Linked DNA regions of Xenopus tropicalis. The protein of the gene in region 1 interacts with the protein of each later gene in a biochemical or structural test. Links are inferred from orthologs where the notes say so. Each region holds a gene or a part of one and is shown on either strand. Other genes may lie near its edges.

The links.
Region 2: the proteins of crhr1.2 (region 1) and magi1 form a complex in vitro, tested with the Homo sapiens proteins (2 studies listed by BioGRID and IntAct, with this or other methods). The link is inferred for Xenopus tropicalis from reciprocal best matches to the Homo sapiens genes CRHR1 and MAGI1.
Region 3: the proteins of crhr1.2 (region 1) and mpdz form a complex in vitro, tested with the Homo sapiens proteins (2 studies listed by BioGRID and IntAct, with this or other methods). The link is inferred for Xenopus tropicalis from reciprocal best matches to the Homo sapiens genes CRHR1 and MPDZ.

Annotation. Positions count from the first base shown.
Region 1 is NC_030686.2:16,307,405-16,311,696, forward strand, and holds the start of crhr1.2 (corticotropin-releasing factor receptor 1), read left to right. Parts: upstream 1-1,492; 5' UTR 1,493-1,614; intron 1,615-4,292.
Region 2 is NC_030680.2:143,759,923-143,763,974, forward strand, and holds the start of magi1 (membrane-associated guanylate kinase, WW and PDZ domain-containing protein 1), read left to right. Parts: upstream 1-1,252; 5' UTR 1,253-1,528; coding exon 1,529-1,826; intron 1,827-4,052. UniProt on the Homo sapiens protein: Plays a role in coupling actin fibers to cell junctions in endothelial cells, via its interaction with AMOTL2 and CDH5. May regulate acid-induced ASIC3 currents by modulating its expression at the cell surface.
Region 3 is NC_030677.2:124,798,009-124,801,508, forward strand, and holds part of mpdz (multiple PDZ domain protein), read left to right. Parts: intron 1-912; coding exon 913-987; intron 988-1,981; coding exon 1,982-2,170; intron 2,171-3,500. UniProt on the Homo sapiens protein: Member of the NMDAR signaling complex that may play a role in control of AMPAR potentiation and synaptic plasticity in excitatory synapses. Promotes clustering of HT2RC at the cell surface.

The DNA.
Region 1 (4,292 bases):
TAACTCCCTGTGACACACTACTCACTGTAACTCCCTGTGACACACTACTCACTGTAACCCCCTGTGACACACTACTCACTGTAACCCCCTGTGACACACTACTCACTGTAACTGCCTGTGACACACTACTCACTGTAACTCCCTGTGACACACTACTCACTGTAACCCCCTGTGACACACTACTCACTGTAACCCCCTGTGACACACTACTCACTGTAACTCCCTGTGACACACTACTCACTGTAACCCCCTGTGACACTCTACTCACTGTAACCCCCTGTGACACTCTACTCACTGTAACTCCCTGTGACACTCTACTCACTGTAACTCCCTATGACACGCTACTCACTGTAACTCCCCGTGACACGCTACTCACTGTAACTCCCCGTGACACGCTACTCACTGTAACTCCCCGTGGCACGCTACTCACTGTAACTCCCCGTGACACGCTACTCACTGTAACTCCCTGTGACACGCTACTCACTGTAACTCCCTGTGACACACTACTCACTGTAACTCCCTATGACACGCTACTCACTGTAACTCCCCGTGACGCGCTACTCACTGTAACTCCCTGTGACACGCTACTCACTGTAACTCCCCGTGACACGCTACTCACTGTAACTCCCTGTGACACGCTACTCACTGTAACTCCCCGTGACACACTACTCACTGTAACTCCCTGTGACACACTACTCACTGTAACTCCCTGTGACACACTACTCACTGTAACTCCCTGTGACACACTACTCACTGTAACTCCCTGTGACACACTACTCACTGTAACCCCCTGTGACACACTACTCACTGTAACCCCCTGTGACACACTACTCACTGTAACTCCCTGTGACACACTACTCACTGTAACCCCCTGTGACACACTACTCACTGTAACTCCCTGTGACACACTACTCACTGTAACCCCCTGTGACACACTACTCACTGTAACTCCCTGTGACACACTACTCACTGTAACCCCCTGTGACACACTACTCACTGTAACCCCCTGTGACACACTACTCACTGTAACCCCCTGTGACACACTACTCACTGTAACCCCCTGTGACACACTACTCACTGTAACTCCCTGTGACACACTACTCACTGTAACTCCCTGTGACACACTACTCACTGTAACTCCCTGTGACACACTACTCACTGTAACCCCCTGTGACACTCTACTCACTGTGACAGGGCTAGTGGTGACTAAAAAGTAACTTCTCTCACCTGTGTCTGTTCCTCCTCTCCCCCGATATCTCTGTGTATTTGGCCCTTTCCTTGTGCTGCGCAGCTAATCCTGATCCCGTAGAGCCCAAATCCAGCCCATACCTCTCCCCTGACTCCCTGCCCTTCTGACCCTGGCGCTATTACCAGGAAGGGAGCACTGAAACAGTAGTCACAAAATAGAAACAGCAGCTGTCCCAGCAATTCTTTTCTGTAACAGACCCCTCCCTTGCTCTTTTTTCATCTTTACTTCCCCCCATCATTTCATTCCCTTCCAGCGTTTCAGGGCTTGCGTTCCATCATACCCAGGCACCACACTGGTCCAGCTGCACAACCTGGCACTGATATCCAAGATGGCACCCATGGTCTCCCCGCCTCTGACACCCACAGGTAATGTAAATATGAACATACCCTCACACCAGCACTCACTCATTGCACCATACATACACTCACACCAGCACTCACTTATTGCACCATACATACACTCACACCAGCACTCACTTATTGCACCATACATACACTCACACAAGCACTCACTCATTGCACCATACATACACTCACACAAGCACTCACTCATTGCACCATACATACACTCACACCAGCACTCACTCATTGCACCATACATACACTCACACAAGCACTCACTCATTGCACCATACATACACTTACACCAGCACTCACTCATTGCACCATACATACCCTCACACAAGCACTCACTCATTGCACCATACATACACTCACACCTGCACTCACTCATTGCACCATACATACACTCACACAAGCACTCACTCATTGCACCATACATACACTCACACCTGCACTCACTCATTGCACCATACATACACTCACACCAGCACTCACTCATTGCACCATACATACACTTACACCAGCACACACACATTGCACCAAACATATACTCACACCAGCACTCACTAATTGCACCATACATACACTCACACAAGCACTCACTCATTGCACCATACATACACTTACACCAGCACTCACTAATTGCACCATACATACACTCACACCAGCACTCACTCATTGCACCATACATACACTCACACCAGCATTCACTCATTGCACCATACATACACTCACACCAGCACTCACTCATTGCACCATACATACACTCACACCAGCATTCACTCATTGCACCATACATACACTTACACCAGCACACACACATTGCACCAAACATATACTCACACCAGCACTCACTAATTGCACCATACATACACTCACACCAGCACTCACTCATTGCACCATACATACACTCACACCAGCACTCACTCATTGCACCATACATACACTCACACCAGCATTCACTCATTGCACCATACATACACTCACACCAGCACTCACTAATTGCACCATACATACACTCACACCAGCATTCACTCATTGCACCATACATACACTCACACCAGCACTCACTAATTGCACCATACATACACTCACACCAGCACTCACTCATTGCACCATACATACACTCACACCAGCACTCACTCATTGCACCATACATACAATCGCACCAGCACTCACTCATTGCACCATACATACCCTCACACAAGCACTCACTCATTGCACCATACATACACTCACACCAGCACTCACTCATTGCACCATACATACTCACACCTGCACTCACTCATTGCACCATACATACACTCACACCTGCACTCACTCATTGCACCATACATACACTCACACAAGCACTCACTCATTGCACCATACATACTCACACCTGCACTCACTCATTGCACCATACATACCCTCACACAAGCACTCACTCATTGCACCATACATACACTCACACCAGCACTCACTCATTGCACCATACATACACTCACACCAGCACTCACTCATTGCACCATACATACACTCACACCAGCACTCACTCGTTGCACCATACATACACTTACACCAGCACACACACATTGCACCAAACATATACTCACACCAGCACTCACTCATTGCACCATACATACACTCACACCAGCACTCACTCATTGCACCATACATACACTTACACCAGCACTCACTCATTGCACCATACATACCCTCACACCAGCACTCACTCATTGCACCATACATACACTCACACCAGCATTCACTCATTGCACCATACATACACTCACACCAGCACTCACTAATTGCACCATACATACACTCACACCAGCACTCACTCATTGCACCATACATACACTCACACCAGCACTCACTCATTGCACCATACATACAATCACACCAGCACTCACTCATTGCACCATACATACACTTACACCAGCACACACACATTGCACCAAACATATACTCACACCAGCACTCACTCATTGCACCATACATACACTCACACCAGCACTCACTCATTGCACCATACATACACTTACACCAGCACTCACTCATTGCACCATACATACCCTCAAACCAGCACTCACTCATTGCACCATACATACACTCACACCAGCATTCACTCATTGCACCATACATACACTCACACCAGCACTCACTCATTGCACCATACATACACTCACACCAGCACTCACTCATTGCACCATACATACACTCACACCAGCACTCACTCATTGCACCATACATACACTCACACCAGCACACACTCATTGCACCATACATACACTCACACTAGCACACACTCATTGCACCATACATACACTCACACCAGCACTCACTCATTGCACCTCACATACACTCACACCAGCACTCACTCATTGCACCATACATACACTCACACCAGCACTCACTCATTGCACCATACATACACTTACACCAGCACTCACTCATTGCACCTCACATACACTCACACCAGCACTCACTCATTGCACCATACATACACTTACACCAGCACACACTCATTGCACCTCACATACACTCACACCAGCACACACTCATTGCACCATACATACACTCACACCAGCACTCACTCATTGCAGCATACATACACTTACACCAGCACTCACTCATTGCACCATACATACACTTACACCAGCACTCACTCATTGCACCATACATACACTCACACCAGCACTCACTCATTGCACCATACA
Region 2 (4,052 bases), on another chromosome or scaffold:
TCCCTTCCCAGAGGCTATTATCCCCCCACTGCTACTATAGGCACCATCTCTCCCTACTATACCTGCTATCCCACAGCCCCCAGTCCCTTCCCAGAGGCTATTATCCCCCCACTGCTACTATAGGCACCATCTCTCCCTACTATACCTGCTATCCCACAGCCCCAGTCCCTTCCCAGAGGCTATTATCCCCCCACTGCTACTATAGGCACCATCTCTCCCTACTATACCTGCTATCCCACAGCCCCAGTCCCTTCCCAGAGGCTATTATCCCCCCACTGCTACTATAGGCACCATCTCTCCCTACTATACCTGCTATCCCACAGCCCCAGTCCCTTCCCAGAGGCTATTATCCCCCCACTGCTACTATAGGCACCATCTCTCCCTACTATACCTGCTATCCCACAGCCCCCAGTCCCTTCCCAGAGGCTATTATCCCCCCACTGCTACTATAGGCACCATCTCTCCCTACTATACCTGCTATCCCACAGCCCCAGTCCCTTCCCAGAGGCTATTATCCCCCCACTGCTACTATAGGCACCATCTCTCCCTACTATACCTGCTATCCCACAGCCCCAGTCCCTTCCCAGAGGCTATTATCCCCCCACTGCTACTTTAGGCACCATCTCTCCCTACTATACCTGCTATCCCACAGCCCCAGTCCCTTCCCAGAGGCTATTATCCCCCCACTGCTACTATAGGCACCGTCTCTCCCTACTATACCTGCTATCCCACAGCCCCAGTCCCTTCCCAGAGGCTATTATCCCACTGCTACTATAGGCACCATCTCTCCCTACTATACCTGCTATCCCACAGCCCCAGTCCCTTCCCAGAGGCTATTATCCCCCCATTGCTACTATAGGCACCATCTCTCCCTACTATACCTGCTATCCCACAGCCCCAGTCCAACTTAAATCACAAGAAAACAACAAGCTGCTGCTCTATGTCTGGAAATTATAATCTGTGACTGAGCTCTATTTAAAGCCGAAGTGGGAGTTGTAGTTCAGTAGCTGGAAGGCTGGGGACCGCATATCCCAGAGTTAAGGTTTCTCTTTGCTGTTCTTTGTCAATCAGAAGAAATTACCAACCCCCAAAATAGATTAAGGTGCGCTATAATGAGTAGCTTTCCTGCTCCGCCCAGAGCTGGCCGTAAGGGGATCCTGGGAGTTGCAGTTCCTGCCCAGCCAGAGCCACAGGTTGGGATTCTTACTGAGCGCTGGAGGGGAGGGAAGGTGAGTGTTGCGCATGCGCGGCGCGGCTCGGCTCGGAGGCTGCCCTGCCCGGGATGGAATGGGAAGAGAGCGGATACTTTGTATCAGTGTCTCCCGGAGAGTGAGGAAGTGAGAGCAGGAAGCGGCCGGCGCTGCCCCCTTCCCGGCTGCCTCCTTCCCGGCCAGAGGGAAACTTTGTGGGCTCAGTATGAGAGGATAAAGGCGGGGGCTGCCGGGATACAAAGTTTGCCTTGGGATGGCTTGAATGTGACCGGGGGGCGGCAGTGTGAGTGCAGCCGGGGGGCTGCCGGGGGCTCAGCATGGCCAAAGTCATTCAGAAGAAGAACCACTGGAGCAGCCGAGTGCACCGCTGCGCTGTGAGCTGTGTGGGGGAGCCGGGGGAGCCGGGGCTGCCGGTGCTGGGGGGCGCGGAGGATGGGGAGTTCCTGTACCTGGGGGGGGCGGCTGAGGGGCTGAGGTGCAGCGATGGCGAGCTGGCCGAGGGGGAGTTACTGCTGGAGGTGGCCGGGGTGCCCGTCTCTGGATTACCGCGATACGATGTACTGGAACTGGTCCGGAACAGCAAGCAGCCTGTCCCCATCACTGCTGTCAGACAAGGTAAGGGGGAGGGGCCACTAGGGGTCACCTGGTTAGCTGGTCACTGGGCTACCTGTTTAGCTGGTCACTGGGCTACCTGTTTAGCTGGTCACTGGGCTACCTGTTTAGCTGGTCACTGGGCTACCTGTTTAGCTGGTCACTGGGCTACCTGTTTAGCTGTTGGGCTACGTGTTTAGCTGTTGGGCTACCTGTTTAGCTGTTGGGCTACTTCTTTCACCTGCTCAGTTGGCAACCTGCGCCCTATGTGGCAATTGACTGGTCACTATGTGGCCATTGCCTGGTCACTTAGCCACCAATTGGTCTCCTAGCCACCAATTGGTCTCCTAGCCTTTTGCCAGTTTCTGGCTACCTATCCCCCAACTGCACACTAGTCCCTGGGTCGCTTTTCATCGGCCAGAGCCACCTGCTAACTCGCTGTTCCATTGGTCACCTTATTACTTGGCTGGCCAGCAACTGACCATCTGGCTTGTCACGTCAATAAGTATTAATTTATCACTATATAATTAGCAGTTGTTATTACATAGTCATTACTTACCTAATCACACATTGTTTACATGAGCTTGTCATTTGTGTCCTGGCAACTAGTCATCAAGTGGCCTCTTACTAGCTTAGTGATAGCCTCCTGGCTACTTGCTGCCTAGCTGTTAGCTGGTCACCTGGTTGTTAAATAATCACTTGACAAACTGGCCACTAACCCATCTTCTTTAGGCCGCAAACTCCTTATCAGTTGGCCATTCACTCATTAACTGGCGGCCTGCTGGCCAACAACATGTTTACGTTAGAGACCGTCAGCTAGTCACTATCAATGTGCTTGTACTTTCTCTTCCACTAGCCACCCTCTTGCCTTCAGCCGGCCACGTGACCAGATATATCGTACGTGTTTGTCATGGTGATATACACACGCACTATTTTGTTTACATAGGAAGGAGTTCAGGGACCCTAGTCAGACCCTGTGGCCCTCCAGCTGTCATAACTCCCACTAACACCTGAAGCCTCAGTGGCTGATGGGATTTGTAGTTGGACGTCCCCCTATCGGTATTATCAGGTTATATTTCCATTCTATTCCAACCCCCCCTGACCGTGGGCAGGAGTACTATTTGCAGAACATGGCACTCTGTGTGCTGATAAGGTCCTGTATATCATCAAGTTCTGCCCAGTTAGCCGGTCGGCTATTGGAATTAAATTTGCCCCCCCGGCCACTGGATAATAACATTCCTACCCTGTACCCTTGTATTAGATCCTGGTAACAGCCTCGTGTTTGCTTATACACACGGATACAATGTATCACCTCGGGGGCAATAAGGCACTCGGCGCACTCTATGAATAATGTAGCGTAGAAGTCGTTCCGCTGGAATATAGTGGAATGCGTTTGGGGAATCTCCCTTAGATTTATCATTGCTGATATTTCCAGTAAAACCTGCTATTTATAAAATTACCTTTTTTCCTGTTATTTTAGTGAGAACTAGTGTTCTGAAGCCAATCAATGCATTTGGATATTGTTCATATTCACATTCACGCCTGCATTCATTCGCCCAGCAGCCCCATGTGATTCGGTTTATTGCGCGCGTTGCTTATATATAAATGTTGGGTCGTATTGTGCTCGCATTAGCGTGGTGGAAAACATTCCTGTGTCAATATTTGTGTTCTAGACGTGACACACTAAGCGCACCTTGGCTTTCTGATCTGTGAGAATGGAGTCACTGGCTTTACCATTAGCCCGACTGTATGAAAGGCCTCATTAAATGCTAAAGGGCTTCAAAGGTGTCGGCACATACCTGGAAACAATACGCAGAATTATGTAATATTCAAAAGAAAAAGTTTTTGTGACTTTGGCACAGTGACGTGTTTCTCCGTGGCTATTGTTTCCATAACCTGCCTGGGAAAAAAACCAGCAGTTTTGTTTTGCTTTATGGCAGAGATTCTACAGTAGATACAGACTGGGTTATAAATGAGGATCAAATACTTTATCTGAAAGGTTTGTTTTGCTTCACGGCACTGCTGCTTTTGGAGGTTTAAGCTAGTTATGAGAGTGCAAGAGGTAAGAGAAAAACCCCAATCTTTTAGGGTGAAGACACACAGAGCTACTAGTAGCAGCTACTTTTTCGCAGCTACTAAACTCCAGAAAATATACTCCCATAGACAATACTGAGAATTGCCTCTGGTAAAATACACGTAGAAACAGTTATCAATAAATGTTCAGCATTGTCTATTTTAGTAGCCGTGACA
Region 3 (3,500 bases), on another chromosome or scaffold:
ATATTGCTTTCTGTTTTTCGATCATGTCTTGTAAAGCTTTTAAACTGGTAATTTCCTGGTATTTGAAAATTCTAGACAAGTAGTTGGAGAGTTTTGAATATACTTGTATCAGTTTTTTTTTTATTCTTATTTGCATTTTCAAAGTAAAATTTAAATGGTAAAAAATGTCATTATCCTCTGAATCCAATTAACTGTAGGGGCACTTCTTTGTAATGACAATAAACATTAAATACAGATATCGGATCTGTTATCCAGAATGCTCGGGACCTGGGGTCTTGCAGATAAGGAATCTTTCCGTAATTTGGATCTCCATATCTTAAGCCTACTAAAAAATAATTTATTACAAATACACCCAATAGGATTGTTTTGCATCCAATAAGGATTAATTATATCTAAAGGTCCCGATACACGTGAAGATTCGCTCACTTGGCGATATCGGCAGCTAGAATCGGCCCGTGTGGGGACCCTTAGTTGGGATCAAGTACAAGGTACTGTTATATTATTACTGAGAAAAAGGAAATAATTTCTAAAAGTAAGAATTATTTGTTTAAAATTGAGTATATGGGATATGGCCTTCCTGTAATTCGGAACTTTCTGGATAATGGGTTTCCGGATAACTGGTCCTATACCTGTATTAAATTTATGAAATTGGAGGAGAAAGGTTAGGGTAGGTTATAAGTGGCAAGAGGAGCACTGGGCTAGTTACTTATGTGCCCAGAGATTCCTTCAAGTTGGGAATAGTAGTGAAACATGTTCATACAACTAAACAGAAGTAGGATAAACTGTGTTTCCTCATCACTGCCAACCATGATCTGAGGCATTAGAATGACTGGTAAATATCCTTGTATGTATGATTACATTTATGTAATTCAGACATTCCTTTTTACTATTTTATACAAACCTTGTGAACAGGATTTTCCTGTACCATTACCTGCACTCTGGAAAATGCAAGAGGATATTCCACAGAGCCTGGACACTGATTCAAAGGTAATCTATTTTTAAAGTATCCTAAAATGTAAAATGTTTTAGAAAAAGCTAAGGGCCCTGAATATGGTACTGTACTATGATTAGCTATTAAGGAAACCTATACAACATTAATGCCTTTATTACAGTTTGAGAATGAAAATGTGGCTATTTTCATAAACTTTTTTTCTTAATAATACTATTTTTATATTTATTTTAACCATATTTTATTGGCTGTTATTGTAGACTTTATAAACTGCTGCTGAATATGAATATTTGAAACCTCAGAGCTGATGCAAATCATTTCTTATGGAAAGCTAATTAAAATGAAAAAGCTGTTAACTTTACAAAATATATGGTACAATTATCAAAATGATATGGTTTGCTTTGCAAAATTGCTAATTTTTTTTTTTCATAACCTTATGCAGGTTTTATCTTTAGATACTTGTTTTATATAACTTTTTTACTGACCAGATTTTTTTTTTAAATGACAATTTAAGTATTTTGTTATTTTTGCTATTTTTCAGTTATTAGCTTTGTAAATCCAAATATAATCTATTAAGTCTGGGTAAAAAGGTCTAATAATTCAAAAATAAGTAAAGTAACAACTCTATTATTAGAATAATAACCATCTGGATTATTATTGCATACTTTTTTTTTTTTTTTTTTTAAATGGGCCAAAAACTGCCTATATGCTATAACCCTTATTGTGGTTATGACTCCTATGTGCGGTTGTCATGAAATGGGAAACAACATAGCATAAAATCATCATGATAGTAGGTGGAACCTCCTGACCTTTACTAAGGGAAATATATGGACCTTCTTAATGTTAGATTGCCAAATCTGGCAAACACATTGTAATCATTTTCTGGGTTTGAATTGTGAGCTTTGGCTGTGAAGTAACAATAGCGTTTAACCAAGTAGACGTCTAGCCAAACATCCAGATAGTAGGAAGGTAATTTGCATTACAAAGATTTTTGTATTATAATATTGTGTAATGTTTTTGTTCTTTTTATAGCTGCATATTGACTTTGGTGGAACCGTTGGCTCTTCAGAAACAGATGATTTAAACACAGCATCTACTGAAGATGGTCAAAGTATCGAGGATGCACAGGGATCTCCACTTGCAATGTGGGAAACCGATATTCAGGATATCCTATTGGAAAAAGGAAGCCTTGGTCTTGGATTCAGCATTTTAGATTATCAGGTGTTTATCTTCTATGCTCTGTGTTAGTAACATACAATCTAATACCTGAAGTCGAGTTGCATGGCTACCTTTTTCCTTGCTGCTGTTTGTTAAAGGTCCACTTTCATAAAATAGCAACATTTTTTTTCCTTATCCTCTAAAACAATAGGGGAGATTTATCGATCCACGAACGCCCCGAATGCGTCCAAATGCGCTTTTTCGTAATGATCGTTATTTTTGCGACAATTTCGTCACTGTTGCGACTTTTTTGTATCTTGCGCGAATTTTTAGTCGCCGTCACGACTTTTTCGTACTTTGCGATAAAATTTTGCGACAAATTCGTATTGTTGCACCGAATACGAAAGTTTTGGATTCTTTCAAGCTTTGGTATCCTGCTGGTATCGTGCTTGGTGCTTTGAATATTCTGAAATGTACAGGATCGTCATCAGGATGATAGACAGGAAGTGAAGTGTCAGGTTAAAAACCCGCAGTATCCAATCAGTGTTTATACAACATTAACCCATTCAATAACATGTGCAAAGTGTAATCAAATACCAGGCACTTAAAAAATCCCCATATGATCAAAAATAAAATTATCATCAAACATCTAGACATATTAATACATAAACTAGGACATATCCCATATATATCAATGTAGTAAGCCACATGGCAAAGCTCATAGTGAAATATAATTTTAAAACACATATAAGTCAATCTATCAAGACACATGACAAAGTCACATGTCATGACTAAAAATTGAATTTATAAATATCACCATTAACTTCAATACTCATCTAAACTCATAATAGTGCATAAAATAGGACATATCCCATATATATCAATGCGATAAGCCACATGGCACAACTCATAGTGAAATATAATTTTAAAACACATGAGTCAATCTATCAAGACACATGACAAAGTCACATGTCATGACTAAAAATTTAATTTATAAATATCACCATTAACTTCAATACTCATCTAAACTCATAATAGTGCATAAAATAGGACATATCCCATATATATCAATGCGATAAGCCACATGGCACAACTCATAGTGAAATATAATTTTAAAACACATATGAGTCAATCTATCAAGACACATGACAAAGTCACATGTCATGTCTAGAAATTAAGATGATAAATATCACCATTAACTTTAATGCTCATACACATTAGCTATTACATATTAATAGGGAAAAATAAGTTACCCACCCAAAGTTATAACGTGATAAAAACTAGCGTGTTGTAAAAAGTTATTTCATATTCATAGTGAGATTAAGGAAATGTGAACAGATAAACGGACAAAAATTGTCCAATACTAATAAAAAGCATTTCTTACAATCTTTAT